Callithrix jacchus: one gene and its partners. The protein of the gene in region 2 interacts with the protein of the main gene of each other region in a biochemical or structural test. Links are inferred from orthologs where the notes say so. Each region holds a gene or a part of one and is shown on either strand. Other genes may lie near its edges.

Region 1 (4,381 bases), on a different chromosome or scaffold from region 2:
GGTCCTGAAGTCAGCAACTACAATCCAGGTGAAACAAAAGTTGCTCCTCTATGCCACAGAAACCTACAGGAGAGGCAGTGGAGTGGGAATGGAGCAGAGAGATGCCAAGAAGTAATGGGTAAATTTTTTTTAATCTAAATTTTCAGAAAAACAAGAGAGAAAGGAATAATCAATCTCCTCCCCCCGCCACCACACCAAAAAAAAAAAAGGAATAATAATGTAGAAAGAACAAGAAAAAAGTGAAAGGAAAAATAGTTTTAGGGTAAATTTCATCTCCATCCGAAAGAAAATTACTCTGATTTTGTTTAAGCAAGAGAAGAATTCAGCTGAGAAATTAGCAGGCAGCAAAATCAGGGAGTCACTTCCCACTGCAAAGCAAAAGAAAACAAGGAGCAAGGGGGTGGTCCTGGATAGCTGTAGACAATGGGACATACGGGCTGACAGCTCCTTGCCTTAGAAATTCCGTGATGTTTAAATTAACAATTGGCCACAAGCCAAACACAGGAACACTCAAAAGTTTGGAAGGGTGCACTGTAATTGGTACCTTAGCAAAACACAGTAATAAATTAGGAGGATTCAAGAAGCCTTCACATTAGACTCTAAGATTAAAGATTTGTACCAAGAAACAGGCTTCGAAACCTCTGCTACGGCAGTAGTTTAGCATCTAAGGAATACTTGCCTAAAAATCAAAATATCTAAATCCTACCCCTTCAGTCAACTTCACTAACACTCAACTTGACTACCTAAAACTCACCTAATACTCGCAGCACCTCAGCAGGGCAGAGGTGGAGGGCATCGTTTTGTGCACTGAGATCCTAGAATAAAAGAAGCCCTGTGTGTCAGAGTAATCCTATTTCTGACATCGGATTATTTAATACTTAATTTCGTAATCACTTTACAATCATATTTATTATTCCCTCCAATTCTCTAAAGCAGGCTATTTTTCTCAGTCCAGTTTCATAGGTGAGGAGACGACGGATCATGAAGATTAAGTTATTTACCAAAACAAGTTAATGGCAGACCAAGGATTGTGGTCCTGAGACTGTCCCATTGATTATACTCCTCTGTCTTCTAAAGCTACACTTACAGTTTTTACTCAAAGAAAAAGGAAAAGCAAAAACACCGTCATATGCTCGTTACTAAATGTTTCAGAAACAACAGCTTTGCTTCATCACTGCAAAGTCTCTGGTCCGCTTCTGAAATTCTTAGTGACCTAGAGGTGAATGAAATTTGAACTTTCCAAGAAGAATCTAGTTGGTGCTGAACAACTCAGTACTGTTTTCAGGTGATAAATAACCTTGCTCTCTTTTTAAATACCTGCGATTGACATGTCGACAGCCTGTTAACAATGAACAAAGACCATATTTTTCTGAAGCTCATCATCTTCCTAACCTTTTCATTGAAAAAAAAAAATATGTAGTTCATGTACCAGTTTTTGGTGAAGGTAAAATCTTTGTTCAGATTAGGCTCAGAAAAAGAAAGGGCTCCCTTTTTGTTCAACAAGCATGCACAAGACACCATCCCACTGTAAGCATCAATTTCAGGAAGAAAAAAACACAGCCTCAGCCCTGAAACGCCTTTAGAGTGCCATCCCTTTAACATACATTATTGTAATTAATCCTATTAACTGCGTAATTTCATTCCCATTTTATTGGTGAGTTCATACAGCAGAGCTGGATTTGAATCCAGGATTACAGAGCAGGCCTTCAAAGTCCAAGTTATTTCCCCCGACGAGTCTGAAGAAATCCAGAATCTAAAAGTGTGGGTGGGATGGAGAAGATATGACTCGATTCCCTTTCCTCGCTCCAACCGTGTTAGAAATATCCAACCATAAAGAGGCTTTCTAAGGAAGCCCTTTGAATTAACGTATCCACTTTTCCTTACCCGCCCGTGCCCCACCCCCAGCCATGCCAAAGGAGCAGCAAATCCTGCTGCCAGGTTGGAGGAGTTGGTGATCGTCACACCACATTCCTGGGTCTGGACACAGCCTGAAACTGCAGCAGAGCTCCGCGCCTCGGAAAGAATAACAGCAGTTGAGATTTTTAAATCATGTGCCTCAGCATGCAGCCACACCAGTTGCCCTACTTCTCCTGCCTCCACCTTTCCAAGACGCTAGCAGCACACCCGGCTCCTCCGGACTTTCGGTCGAGTCGGAGTGTCAAAAGTCAGGCGCGCCCCAAACTCCGTCCCCATCCAAAGCAAGCCTCACACCCGGCCCGTGAGCACAGCCCGGGCGGGCCGCGAAGGTGCAGGCCGTGGAGCTCGGCGGCCCAGCCCCCTCTCTCCACGCCGGAATCTGGCATTCCTTCGCTCAGCCCCTCCGCGGCCCGCCGTCGGCTCTCGCTCGACCCCAGGAAACGCGGAACCCGAAGGGCAAAGCTGCCCACCTCCCTGCGCCCTGGCGCCAGGAAAAAGGAGCTTCTGAGACTCGCTGCCGGCCTCCCTCCGGCCAAGGCGTGCGAGGCGTCCCGAGCCGCGGGGAGCAGAAGGCGGCGGGGAACCCCGGGAGGCGGCGGGGGCGCCACGGGAGGGGCCCCCGGCGATGTCCAAACTCGCGGGCGCCCGGCGAGCGGCCGAGCCCGGCCTTCCCGCACAGAGGAGGACCGAGGGGAAAAGGTCGCCCCAGGTGGCGGCCCCGGGCGCCGCAGACAGCGCCCCGCAGCCCGATACTCACCACGCGCGGGGGCCGCGCACCACAGCCCGAGAGCCAGCAGCGCCCACAGCGGCGCGGGGCGCAGGGCGGGCATCTTCTCGGTCGCCTCCTCCGCCGCCGCCGCCGCCGCCTGGGCAGATCCACATGGGGAGGGGGTCCCGACAGGGGAGCCCCACTCTCTCCTCCCCTCCTCCCGCTTCAGAGGCTCGGGCCCTGGCGCTGCGCTCCGAAGCCCCGGCGCAAATGCCCGGACTCCCCCCGCCCGGGGCCCGCCGCTGCTCGGCCGCCGCCTCAGCCGCCGCCCGAAGTTTGGCTGAAACTTTCTCGGGTGTGCGGAGAAGCAGCCTCGTGTGTCCTTCCGCCTCGGCCGCCTCCTCCCACCGCAAGCCCCGCCCCCCTGTCGCCGCGGACCCGGCCCCGCCGCCTTGGGCACCCAGGGGTTTCCCGCAGGAAGAAGCGCCGGCCCGAGCTCCGCGCGGAGGGATCTACTACAAGTCCCCGTCGCCGGCCGCATCTTTCTCCAGAAGCCCCGGGGGCCGCCGCGCCTTAACTCGGTCGGCGCTGCCGCGCTTCGGCAGGCGGAGGGAGCTTGGGGGCCGAGGGGGCGTGGGGGAGCGTGGGGGGGCGTGGGGGACCGTGGGGGCGTGGGGGGGTGTGGGGAGCGTGGGGGACCGTGGGGGGTGGGGGGGCGTGGGGGCGTGGGAGGGTGGGGGCGTGTGGGGGCGTGGGGAGCGTGGGAGCGTGGGGGGGGCGTGGGGAGCGTGGGGGGGCGTGGGGGAGCCTAGGAGCGTGGGGGCGTGGGGAGCGTGGGGGAGGGTGGGAGCGTGGGGGGCGTGGGGGCGTGGGGGAGCCTGGGAGCGTGGGGAGCGTGCGGAGCGTGGGGGGTGTGGGGGAGCGTGGGGGGTGTGGGGGGGGCGTGGGGGCCGAGGGGGGTGGGGTAGAACTCGGAACTTCAAGCCCTGGCGTTTGCCGGGACCGTGAACTTGAAGGGAGAGGCGGCCCGCGGCCAGTGAGTCCTGTGTCGCCCCCACACCCACACGTCCACACACTGCTAGCTAGAGGAATGCGCTGGCGTAGGACCAGCGCTGTCAAAGAAGGAAAGGGGGCCAAGGCGCCAAAGTCCATTAAAAGGGGATAGAACCGTCACCGAGTGGTGCTGCTCTACTCATTCATTCATTCGTTCTCCCGTGTAGCAAGTATTTCTTAAGTGCCTTGCTCTGCAGAGCTGTGTGCCTGGCACAGCGGAATGACACCAAAGATGCACAAGCGATTTTGAGGACCAAGACTTTGCTGCTGTGGGCTGCGGGGTTCAGGGAAGGCTTTCACAGAGCAGCGGAGATGAAGGCAGGATCTTGAGGGGTCAGTAAAATTTCTATACGACGAGGAGACCGCCTAAGCTAAACATACTCATTTTAACGCTGTAATAACAAAACCTTGAAAACGACGTAAATGCCCACCCTCAGAGGAATGGATGAATAACGTATACTTATAAAATGAAATGCAACACAGTAACTGAAAAGACTGTGCTCATGTATGTCAGTAGGGATAAATCCTAAAAACTAAATGATAGTGTAAAAACTCATTGCAGAGGGAGACAAAGTATACCATTTATGTATTTTTTCAAAACAATACTACACATTTTCTGTGGATGGGTATATATAGATACAGATATTAAGAGACTATGGTAGTTAATTCCAGGGCAGGTGAGTAGGGGGCTTGATCAGGCCT
Region 2 (3,805 bases):
GGCTAGTTGGTGTTTCTCCCTGCCTTTCCCCACCCTTGTTAAAGCTTGGCTCTTGAGAAGGCAGTTAAAGTTTCAGAGAGCTTGAAACTTGGAGGGTGGTTTGAGAAGCTGCCCTCCCTCCCACCCCAGGTGAAAGGTTTTGTTTTTGTTTGTGGATCAAAGGCACTATTTGGCCCCAAAAGAGTATGATTAATCAAGGTGCTTATATAAAAGAACCTCAACTCCCCTAATACTAGATAAATTAAGCAGACTTTTTTTTTTTTTTTTTTTTTTTTGGCAAAGCAAGAAATCACTATAAATTAGCACACAGTAATGGGACACAAATTATGGAGCTGGTTCCAAGTGTTGTCATTTCCTTCTCCTTCCCTATGGAAGTGGTTTTAGAGATGCTATCCTGGCCTTTGCCAAGGGAGGGTGCCCCTTTCTCTCTTTTTTTTTTTTAAATCATCATCATGAGGCAGGTTCCTGCTGCACTTGGTGGCTCGTTGCATTTCTGTGCTTTGGGGCCGTGACTTTCTGTGCAGACAGAGCAGAGCTGCAAGTGCAGTGTCTGCAGAGACGTTGGCAGAACTCTGTTGTCACCAGGAGAGTCCTTTGCTCTACGGTCTGTGTCTGTTGCAACTACGTGCGTGGGTTGTTTTATTCCCTGCCTTCACCCTTGGCTTACTCGAGTTGTCCTGAGAAGAGAGTGGCTTTGTGAAGGGTATCCCCAAACAGCCCTCCTTTTGTCAGGAGTCGGCTGGGAGGGGACCCCAGCCCAACTGTGAAAATGTTTGTTTGTATGGAGCCCCTGATGAGCCTTGGGAGTCTACCATCCTGTCCTCAGAAACATAACAGAAAAAGGCTGGACTTACTCTCTTAATGTACAAAAGGCTGAGCTGGAGGTATGCTGTGTGTCTCCAGGTGCCAGTATGGCTGGCAAGGCCTGTACTGTGATAAGTGCATCCCGCACCCAGGATGTGTCCACGGCATCTGTATCGAGCCCTGGCAGTGCCTCTGTGAGACCAACTGGGGCGGCCAGCTCTGTGACAAAGGTATGGCCCTTAGGGATGAAACCCAGGGTGGGATGCGGGCCTCAGGAGGGGTGTGGGTTCTGGGGTGGGATGGCAGTCATTTGGTTTTTAATTTTATTGGCAGGGGCTTTTATTCTGAATTCTCCTTAAATGCTGTGGGGATTTTCTGGTTTTCTTTTTAAAAGACGATGGGGCTGGCTGGATCGTGCCTATAATCTCAGCACTTTGGGAGGCCAGGGCGGGTGGATTACCAGGTCAGGAGATCGAGACCATCCTGGCTAATACGGTGAAACCCTATCTCTACTAAAAATATAAAAATTAGCCATGCGTGGTGGTGCGCACTTGTAGTCCCAGCTACTCGGGAGGCTGAGGCAAGAGAATCGCTTGAACCTGGGAAGGTAGTGTTTGCAATGAGCTGATATCGTGCCACTGCACACCAGCCTGGGCAACAGAGGGAGATTCTATCTCAAAAAAAAAAAAAAAAAAAAAAAAAAAAAAAAAAAAGATGGGGCTAGAAACATGGCGGGTTTGCCATCTTCACAGGCATCTCTTAGTGACATCAGGATCTTTTTGGCAGATCTCAATTATTGTGGAACCCATCAGCCGTGTCTCAACGGGGGAGCTTGTAGCAACACGGGCCCTGACAAATATCAGTGTTCCTGCCCTGAGGGATATTCAGGAGTCAGCTGTGAAATTGGTAAGTGGTCCAAGCTGAATGAGAGTCCTTTGTCTAATTTTTCTGTACTCAGCTTTTAAAAAAATATACTTAAGGACTTAGGAAAAAGCGAAAATAGTCTCCAAAGATAGGAATTATTCCAGCCATTCTATGGGCCTTTGTAACTTTCAAGTCCCTGAAGTTTTTTGGGTGATGTTGATTCACAAAGGAGGCAGCGGGGAGATGAAATGACCCCAACCCTGAGATGTGTTGAAATGTGGTTAGAGACAGCTCAGCAAGAAAGATGACTTCCTTTCTTTCCTAGACACAGCAGGGTTCTATCACATGCTTGCTTTTGGTTTTTGAAATATGCCTGCGCTATAGTGCCTGCGGCATGGGATCTGGTTGCAGGGGGAGTGGAGAGGTAGGGGTGCACAGGTATCCCTCGCTGATTGCCATCCTGGTTTTTGCAGCTGAGCACGCCTGCCTCTCTGATCCCTGCCACAACAGAGGCAGCTGTAAGGAGACCTCCCTGGGCTTTGAGTGTGAGTGTTCCCCAGGCTGGACCGGCCCCACGTGCTCTACAAGTAAGTCCAATTTTCAGCCTGTGTCCATTCTAAGGATCCTTGTGCCAAGATACCACGATGGGGAGAAGTACCTAGGCCTGTCCAGCGTGGATGTCTCAGTGGGAGAGGGGCGGCTGCAGGCAGAAGTCTGGCAAGCAGGCTGGTGGCTTGTGTGTTTGGAAGTCTCCCAGCACCCCCATCCTGTCCCACTAAGGTAGCGAATGTATCTGTTCTTGGAAGAAACGTCCTCATGGAATCGCTTGTTCCTTTGCATCTGCTTCCTGGAGCTGGCCACCTTCCAATTGTGGTTATTTTCCTTGCAGCCATGGAGAGGCTGCCTTCAGGGGAGGTTGTCACTCACTAATGAATTTTGTCATCGGGCCAGGGGGCCCTAAAAGAAGAACCTGGTCTGCAGAGTTCCTTTGGCTGTGAGATAGGGCTGTATGTCAGAATCACCTGGGGTGCTTAACGGTGTAGATCTCTGGGTCCCCCATATTCCCTCCACAATCGGGGAGTGCATGGTCTTTGATAAACTTCTGGAATTCTGCAGTGCAGCCAGGTCTGAGAACTGCTGTCATCAGCACCCCAGGTGTGGTTAGGGGTGTGGATTTCTGGGGTCAGATTGCCTGTGCTGGCCCAGGGCCCCCGCCCATCATTTGCGGAACTCCAGCAAGCCACGTAAGCTCCCTGGGCCCTCTTTAAATGGCACAGTAGCAACTCCCATCTCCGAGGGTTGTCATAAAGACACAAAAGTGAATACTTCATAAAGTGTTAGGAGGTCTCTCTGGTCAGAGCAGAAGTGGAGAATGCAGCCTCCAGGTGTGTTATTTTGGGCAAACTCTGTAAGCAAGTAAGAGGAATAAGGTTTTCCACCTGAACTATTTTTCCATACTTCTTAGCTGCTTCTGAGCCATGATGAAACTTTCCTTTGAAAACAAAGATTAGGCAGATAGAGATGTCCTGAGTTCCCATTGGGTGGACGCTCTGTCAGTATCCAGCTGTCTTTCTCCCCCACTGCTTAGGTTGGGGATTACATGAACTGGGGCAGTGGGGGATTTAAAGCTAAAATCAAGGCTTCGGCCTTATCACTGTCCCACTTGTCCTGCTGTAGCTTTTTTTGTAGCAGGTGTCTGGCTCTTCAACAACAGCCCCTCATATGAGAGGTGATGTTAAATGATCTAATTGTCAGGCAGATTGAATTAAGTTGTCAACCCCCTCCTTTTCTTGTTGACCAGACATTGATGACTGTTCTCCCAATAACTGTTCCCACGGGGGCACCTGCCAGGACCTGGTTAATGGATTTAAGTGTGTGTGCCCCCCACAGTGGACTGGCAAAACGTGCCAGTTAGGTAAGAAAATCCCTGTGACTGTAATTTTTATACAAGTTTGGCTTTGACAATCAAAGCCATCACAGAAGACGAGCGTGTGGCCGGCAGTGTGAGTTCACACTCCATCATGCTAAGAAGTAATTTATTATCAAGAGTCTAGCAGGCCTGGGAGAAATAACTTGAATGCAAATGGGCTAGCTCTTTTAGGCCCTGTGGGAAAGTCGTGGGATTCCTTGAACCATG
Region 3 (4,416 bases), on a different chromosome or scaffold from region 2:
ACAAAAAAAGAAAGTTCTCCCTCTTATCCACTTAACCTAACAATTTCTGCCCATCCCAATCCTCCTGCATTTATTGCTTCCAAGAATTTGGCACTTAGGACACCCTTGTCCTTACATTGTTCATGCATGTATATTTCATCTTCAAAAAACATTTAGTCGCTCAAGGGCAAGGGCCCCAGAGTCCCAATATGCTAAGGGCCTGATGTCGCTTAATAATTTAGATTCCAGCGGGGCTACTCTCCAGGGAGGAGAGCAAAGAGCAAATTACCTTACGGGCTGGGAGTGCAGGAGCCAAACCTTTGAGACTGAAAACAAGAAGGCCAGAGACGATTCAGCAGCAGGCATCCAAGCAAGAAAAACTCAAATACTGCTCCTAATAATGTCTAATGGCAAATACCGTGTAAGGGCCCAGGCAGTCCGGACAGCCTGCAGTGCCCCAGGATAAAACTAACCCTGAGGGCTGATGGCCCAGAGTGACGCCCGTCCTGGCCTCTGGATCTCTATTTTTAGGTCGAAGGGCTTTATTCTTGAATCCCGAGTTCCCGGAGACAGTCCTACGGCAGCTTAGTTTTCTTTCTACCCTTCCAGGGTCACAAACTTGGCGGTGACCCAGCCCTTTCTCGCAGGCCGCCTCAGGTTTCCAGAACTGTGGCCCTACGGTTTAGCAAGAAAAGAGGCGAGGCCCGGGGAGCCTGCAGGGTTAGGCCCTGCCAAGGCCACGCCCTATCTCCAGGAGGCCAACGGGCTGTCCCTGAGCGCCAAGGCCCCGCCCAGCGGTCCGCCGATTGGCCCCACCGCCCCGGGGCCTCTACTCACTTCCGCCTCGGGCGCGGCTCAGGCCACGCCCACCCGCTGTGAGGCTGTGGGCACTTTGTGAGTTTGGGGATTGTTGCGTCCCGTAAGCGGACTCACAAGGGACTTCCCTGCTCAGCTGGCTCCCGGTTTCTCTGCTTACCTCCGGATAAATGACGGCTTCTTCCGCGACGCGCATGGCGCCTCCCAGCCGCCGCGAGTGTCCCTCTCCTTCCTGGCGTTTTCCTGGGTTGCTTCTGGCGGCCCTGGTGTTGCTGCGGTCCTCCTGCTCTGGTAGGATCCCGGGGCGGGTTCGCGCGTCAGCGGTGAAGCTAGAACTCTGCTGGATCAGCTGGGCAGGAGGCGCGGGGCGGGACTGACCGTTTGTCCTGCCGGCTTGGGGTAGAGGGCGAGGCCAGGGTTCTCCGAGGAGCGCAGTGCGCAGATCCCTGGGGTGTGTGGCGGAGGATGCGGGGACCACTTAGAGCCCGAGGTGAAGCTTGTTTGCTGGAGTGATGTGCGCGGCCCGAATTTACGTAGGGTCTGGCTGCGCCCCCAACAAAAGCCTGCACCTTGTTTTCGGGATTGAGTCCAGTCGGCAAGTGGAGCGCGCACTGGGTGCCCCTGGTAAGGGCTTGCTTTGGAGTGCACGGGTGCGTGGGAGTGTTGCTAGGGCCCGTGCTGTGCCGCCGGTGAGAGTTTAACATGTGTTCCCTGGGCGGGGCGGTTGGTGCCTTGGTGAGCCGGGTGTTCCTTAGCACTTCGGCAGTATCTGCGAAAAGTGCTGCGGCGCGTCCGTCCGCTGTGCCCCATGGGCTGGGCTGGCATGGGCTGTGCTGGGCGATCAGGGGCCTGGCCTGGTGTTGTTGGGAGCGTGCTGTGTTGTGTGCAAGTGGCCTGCCCTTCAGAGTTCACGGTGGACAAGACAGCTCACTGTTTGCTTTGAATGGTGTGAGCGTGGACTCTGGGGCTAGGGGGGTTATGTTGGGTGAGAACAGGTTCTCAGTGCCTGGGGTTAGAGATGCTGGTAAGGGCACGCCACGCGTTTTGTGCCTTCTGTGAACAGTCTCCGTGTTGCCTGAGATCCTATTGGTCTTGATTTTTAACTAGCTGGTTTTTTGGGACTTGGGTGGGTCATGGAGTCATCTTCCTGTTCCCAACCAATGTAGACACTCTCTGATTCCATTACCTAATGGCTTTTTGACATAATTTTCCTTCTTTTCATTGTTTGAGTCATATTTGAGAGATGTGAAGAAACCTAAAAAACACTGGTAACCAAACCTATTGAGAAATTAGTATCCTAACAAAGGAAAGGAAATTATGTTAATCTGTTTTCCCTGCAACTCATAAACTAAAGCTGAAGCCCATCCCACTAAATTTGTTTTGTATTTCATTGAATGGAATAATACTATTAAAAATGCATACTAGGCCAGGTGCAGTGGCTCATGCCTGTGATCCCAGCACTTTGGGAGGCCCAAGTGGGGTGATTGCTTGAGCCCAGGAGTTGGGCAAGCAAAACCCCATGCAAACCCCATATCTACAAAAAATACAAAAATTAGATGGGCATGGTGGTGTATGCCTGTGGTCCCAGCTACTCTGGAGGCTGAGGTGAGAGGATCGCTTGTGCTTGGGAAGTGAAGACTGCAGTGAGCTGTGATCATGCCACTGTGCTCCAGCCTGGGTGACAGAGTGAGACCCTATCTAGAAAAAAAAAAAAAAAGCTAAGAAATACATGCTTATTAAACAAAACGAACAGAATCACAGGACAACTATTTTTAATATTTTGGACTATTTCCATCTGACTTTATATGCGCTTCAGGTGTATCTATGTCCAAACTTATATTTAGGATCCTATTACGTGTACAGGTTGTACGTTACGTTTCTTTCCTTAGGAACATTCATTCAACGAATGTCGGCCTAGAATGTGTGGTGCTATTACACTGGTAGGCAATCCCAAACGTTCCTATTTTCTTGATCCTTTTTTTCGCCATTTGTTTACACACATGTACATGCAGGAAGATAAGCAGGGGCTTTGTTTTGTGCACTGCTGCAAGCTCAGTGCTGGGAACACAGTAAACAATAACTATTCGCTAAAATGTATTGGGAGTGGCAGACATTAACTAAACGTAATAGTAACAAATATATTATGAACCAAGGGAAGTGCTCTGGAGAAAAGGAGTATAATTTTCTGACAGCATTTAACAAATGGACTGGAGGCAGGGAAGGCTTTTCTGCTCATCAAAGAGACAAAACTCTGCCTCTTTGGGGCATCTGTGCTTGCTGTTCTCAGCCCTGGAACATTCTCCTGAACTGCTGCATAAACGGGCTCTTTTCTTCTGCAAACTCGGCTGGTATGTTATCCCCTCAGAGACCTTCTCTGACCGCCCCCCGTTTCAGGTTGGAGACATACAACCCAGTTCAAGTCCCTCTTCACTTGTAATCACGCTTTAAAAATGACCTTTTCTATTCTTTGTCTCTCCCCATCAGAATGCAGGGATCTTATCTGTCTTGTCACATTTGTGGTTCCAAAAGCCCAATTTGTTTGCCTCCATATCAATACTGACTCAGTATCCATATAGACATCTGTTAAATACCAGAAAATTAAATATACTATTTGGCTGGGGCTTAGAGCCTAGGAAAAAGTTCCTCCTGCCTCCAGGAAGAAGGTTGTTTAAAGAGCTATGCTCAGGGTGGTTTTTCTGTGGTACCTAAAAAGCCAGGGCAGGGGCAGCTGAGGGCCCGAAAGGATCTTCCTCCCCTGTTCATGTTGACTGTAGGGTTTCCAGTACTTAAGTCTGGCATTTCAGTGATTATTAAAACGTTCATTTTGAAGGAGGGTGATGGGAGGAGGGAGCAGTGGTGATAAGAAGAAAACGAAAGGCCTTTTATTTTCTTTTAAGATTAATGTTTAGAATAGACTTAGTACTAGAAGTTCAGGCTGGGCAACATAAGGAGATCCCACCTTTACAAAAAATGAAAAAAAAAAAAAAAATTAGCCAGGTGTGGAGTTTGTTGCATGCCTGTAGTCCCAGCTACTTGAGAGGCTGAGTGAGAATCACTGGAGCCCCCACGGTCAAGGCTGCAGGTCAAGGCTGCAGTAAGCCCTGATTGTACCACTGCACTCTAGCCTGGGTGACAGAGTGAGACCCTGTTTCCAGAAAAAAACGAAAAGGAAAACACACACACACAAATAGGAAGTTGAAGAAGATAATGAAAGTGATTTGAAATAGAGGAACACAGAAAAATAAAATAGGGTGCAACATGGAAGATAACCTTGTTTTTCCTTCTCTTCATTCTTAGTTAAGTTTGAGGTTGATAAGGTTAAATCAACAACAAGTATGAAACCTAGAGAAAGTAAAAATGAGAACTCATGATGCCACGCAGGGAGAATACATGAACTAAAATAAACATTCAATTTTTGGAGCAACTCACTCTCACAAGGAGAAGGTTTTGTAAGCAGACAATGCTGCACATGGGAGACCTGCTCTCTCAAAGGTAGTTGCCAAAGGGTTCAAGACAGCAGAAGGAAACACATATCAAATTTCAGGCCAGTCTCATTCCTCCAGAAGAGAAGCCACTTTTTTGGACAAAACCCACAGTCTCCTGTTGTGTGTGGTCTCTTCT
Region 4 (2,839 bases), on a different chromosome or scaffold from region 2:
TGGGCAGGGCGGGGCTCTCCTGGGGCAGGATGGTGTGCGGGGCCAGGCTGCTGGGGCCCAGTGGCTGCACGTCCGCCTGGCTCGGCTCTCCACTCAGGAAGCTCCGCCCCAGGTGGCCGCTGGCCGAGGAGCTCACGCTGAGGTGTGGCTGTGGTGGCAGCGGTGGCTGCAGGCTTTGCTGTTGCTGGATGTTTGGTGGCTGCAGGTTCTGTGGCTGCATCTGTAAGTTCTGGGGCTGCACCTGCTGGGTCTGCACCAGGTGAGGCTGGGTGGCCAGCCGGGTGCTGGGCAGGCCCTGGTAGCTCATCATCTGGGGCACGGTGCTGGCAGCAAGGCCGCTGTGCAGAGGGCCCACCATGCTGTGCTGCAGAGAGGGGGCCTGCGAGCTCAGGGGGCCTGGGACCACGCCCCCCCGCAGCGGGTTGTACTGGCTCGGCACCAAGCGGCTCTGCAGCCGGGACAGCCACTCACACTGACCATTCAAACCGGTGGACCCGCCCACAGTGAAATTCACGGCCCCTCCGCTGCTGGAGCCCAGCACGGTGCTGGTGCCGGAGGCCACAGGCAGGTGGGAGAGACGTGGGGGGCCGGCTTCGAAGGCCAGCTGGCCACCCCCGCCCAGCGCCGCTATCTCGGGCTTGGCTGCCACGTTCAGGTGCCCGATGCCCAGGTGGGTGTCAGGCATGCCGGGGAGGTGGGTGAGGGGCATGGATGGAGACTGCTGGAATGGGGAGGGCAGCAGTGGCGGTGAGGCCACATCTGACAGGTAGCCGTGGGGTGACTCCAGGGAGTCCACAGGTGAGAGCATGCCGGAGTTGTCCAGCAGGCAGCCCTTGCCGTCCTGGGACTTCTTCCTCCGCACCTTGAGGTCCTTGGTCTCTTTGCCGCTGCAGGCCAGGCCTTTGCTGCTGGGCTTGCGGACCTTCTTGCCCTGCACGCCAGGCTTGAGGCTGCCCAGGTAGCCATTGGGCGAGCAGAGCGGGGGCGACAGGGTGGGAGTGCCCCCCAGCGGGGCTCCGTGTAGCTGCGGGCTGCGCACCAGGTTGTACTCGTCCAGCAGTCTCACAATGTCATGGTGCATGCGCTCCTGCGCGATGTCCCGTGGCAGGCGGTCCATGTGGTCTGTGATGTCTCGGTTGGCAAAGTGGTCCAGCAGCACCTTGGCGGTCTCATAGCTGCCTTCCCGGGCAGCCAGAAACAGGGGCGTCTCCTCCTGGGGGGCGAGGGTGGGGCCGGTGAGGGGAGCCAGGCCTGGCATGGGGACTCTCCCCAAGGCTCCATCACCAGAGGGAGCAGCAGTACAACCTCCTCCTCGGAGACAAGAGGGGGAGAAGGGGTGGTGCAGGACATTCCTCGGGACCCTGGCCCCGCGTCCAGCAACCACCTGGCCTGACTCTTGTTAAATGTGAAGGCTTCAATACAATTTCTGAAACCCACCCAGAGGGGGTTTGTGCAGTCCTCTACCCTAGATCAGCAGGGCCCCACCTTTATGTGGGGGTCATAGACCCCACTGAAAATCTAACAAACTGCAGCCCCTCTTCCCTGCCCCCAATAAGGCACAGAAGGAAATTGCTGCACCAATGAAGGCACCAGGGAGGGAGCATGTCATCTGGACCGCCACCAAGCCCCTTCCTAGGGTCCCCTCAGTGTGGTGGAGACACCACACGTCTGGGTGAGGTTGCTTCGAGGGAGTGGGAGGGGGCTTCTCAGCCCTCGGTGCCCTGTGGGGCCCAGTCTCCGTGGTGGCACCAGGGAGCACCTGGGCCAACATGCCTGGGTGCCCTGGCCTGCCGTTTGCCCTCGCCCAGGAGGGAGAGACAGCTTAGCCTGGCATGCCAAGGGGGGAGCTGGAGTTGGGCGCGGAGGTGGGGCTTCGGGTGGCAGGGAGGTGGGGGCATCTGCACCTGTGTCCTGAATGCCCAGGAGCCCAATAGCAGCTGCTCAGATCAGATACTCGCCCAGAACTGCAAGGCCAGGATGAGGGCTGGGGGCGGCTCCACTCAGAGGAAGAGCTGCTCATTCACCCCAAGGGTCCTGCCCTGCAGGGAGCTGCTGCCACGTGTGTTCTGGCTGAATCTACACTACCGGGGTCACCACGTTCCCATCCTCACCCCTGCCTGGTAACAGCTGGGGACAGAAGGTGAGGTCCAGGTGACAGTGACAGAACAGTGTGATAGGGGCTCCATTCCCCACGCCAGGCTGTGCGCCCTGCCCACTGTTCCCCACGCCAGGCTGTGACTACACTGTGACTGCAACCCAGGACAGGGCTGGGTCTACCGGGTGACTGCCATGTCCTGACAGTGGACATGCACTTGGGAGGGCTCCGTAAACAGGGGCTGAAGGAGACGGGGAGCACTAAGGAGGTGCCGGCACCATGCAGGCGGAGCCTGTTCTCGGGCCCAGGAGTCCTCGAGACCCTGTGGCTCAGGCCCTCGCCTCCCTGTGCCCCTTGGATTTGGCTCTCGCTTCCCTGAGCTCTGTGGGTTCAGACCTCTCATCCCCCAAGTCCCCTCTCTCGTCCCCCTTTGCGCCCTGGTCTCACGCTCACCTTGTTGTTCTGCATGTCCTTGTTGGCCCCATTCTTCAGGAGCACCACTGCGGCATCCACATTGTTCACAGCGGCAGCCCAGTGCAGGGCGGACTTGCCTGCGTGAAGGAAGCAGATGGGGTGGGTTGGAGACCAGCGGGCAGGAGCCCGGTCCGACCCTCCCTGTGGCAGGCCTGCCCCCGAGGGCTTACCCAGGTCATCTACGGCGTTGACGTCAGCGTGCGAGTTGATGAGGTCCTCCAGCATGCCCTCCACGGCCAGGCGGGCAGCCAGGATCAGCGGTGTCGTGCC

The links.
Region 1: the proteins of JAG1 (region 2) and NOTCH2 form a complex in vitro, tested with the Homo sapiens proteins (2 studies listed by BioGRID). The link is inferred for Callithrix jacchus from reciprocal best matches to the Homo sapiens genes JAG1 and NOTCH2.
Region 3: the proteins of JAG1 (region 2) and CD46 form a complex in vitro, tested with the Homo sapiens proteins (2 studies listed by IntAct, with this or other methods). The link is inferred for Callithrix jacchus from reciprocal best matches to the Homo sapiens genes JAG1 and CD46.
Region 4: the proteins of JAG1 (region 2) and NOTCH1 form a complex in vitro, tested with the Homo sapiens proteins (3 studies listed by BioGRID and IntAct, with this or other methods). The link is inferred for Callithrix jacchus from reciprocal best matches to the Homo sapiens genes JAG1 and NOTCH1.

Annotation. Positions count from the first base shown.
Region 1 is NC_133508.1:158,272,030-158,276,410, forward strand, and holds the start of NOTCH2 (neurogenic locus notch homolog protein 2), read right to left. Parts: upstream 2,965-4,381; 5' UTR 2,748-2,964; coding exon 2,675-2,747; intron 1-2,674. UniProt on the Homo sapiens protein: Functions as a receptor for membrane-bound ligands Jagged-1 (JAG1), Jagged-2 (JAG2) and Delta-1 (DLL1) to regulate cell-fate determination.
Region 2 is NC_133506.1:17,765,845-17,769,649, reverse strand, and holds part of JAG1 (protein jagged-1), read left to right. Parts: intron 1-903; coding exon 904-1,034; intron 1,035-1,590; coding exon 1,591-1,710; intron 1,711-2,141; coding exon 2,142-2,255; intron 2,256-3,469; coding exon 3,470-3,583; intron 3,584-3,805. UniProt on the Homo sapiens protein: Ligand for multiple Notch receptors and involved in the mediation of Notch signaling. May be involved in cell-fate decisions during hematopoiesis. Seems to be involved in early and late stages of mammalian cardiovascular development.
Region 3 is NC_133520.1:35,123,995-35,128,410, forward strand, and holds the start of CD46 (membrane cofactor protein), read left to right. Parts: upstream 1-1,419; 5' UTR 1,420-1,497; coding exon 1,498-1,741; intron 1,742-4,416. UniProt on the Homo sapiens protein: Acts as a cofactor for complement factor I, a serine protease which protects autologous cells against complement-mediated injury by cleaving C3b and C4b deposited on host tissue.
Region 4 is NC_133502.1:184,966,752-184,969,590, forward strand, and holds part of NOTCH1 (neurogenic locus notch homolog protein 1), read right to left. Parts: coding exon 2,740-2,839; intron 2,647-2,739; coding exon 2,549-2,646; intron 1,214-2,548; coding exon 1-1,213. UniProt on the Homo sapiens protein: Functions as a receptor for membrane-bound ligands Jagged-1 (JAG1), Jagged-2 (JAG2) and Delta-1 (DLL1) to regulate cell-fate determination.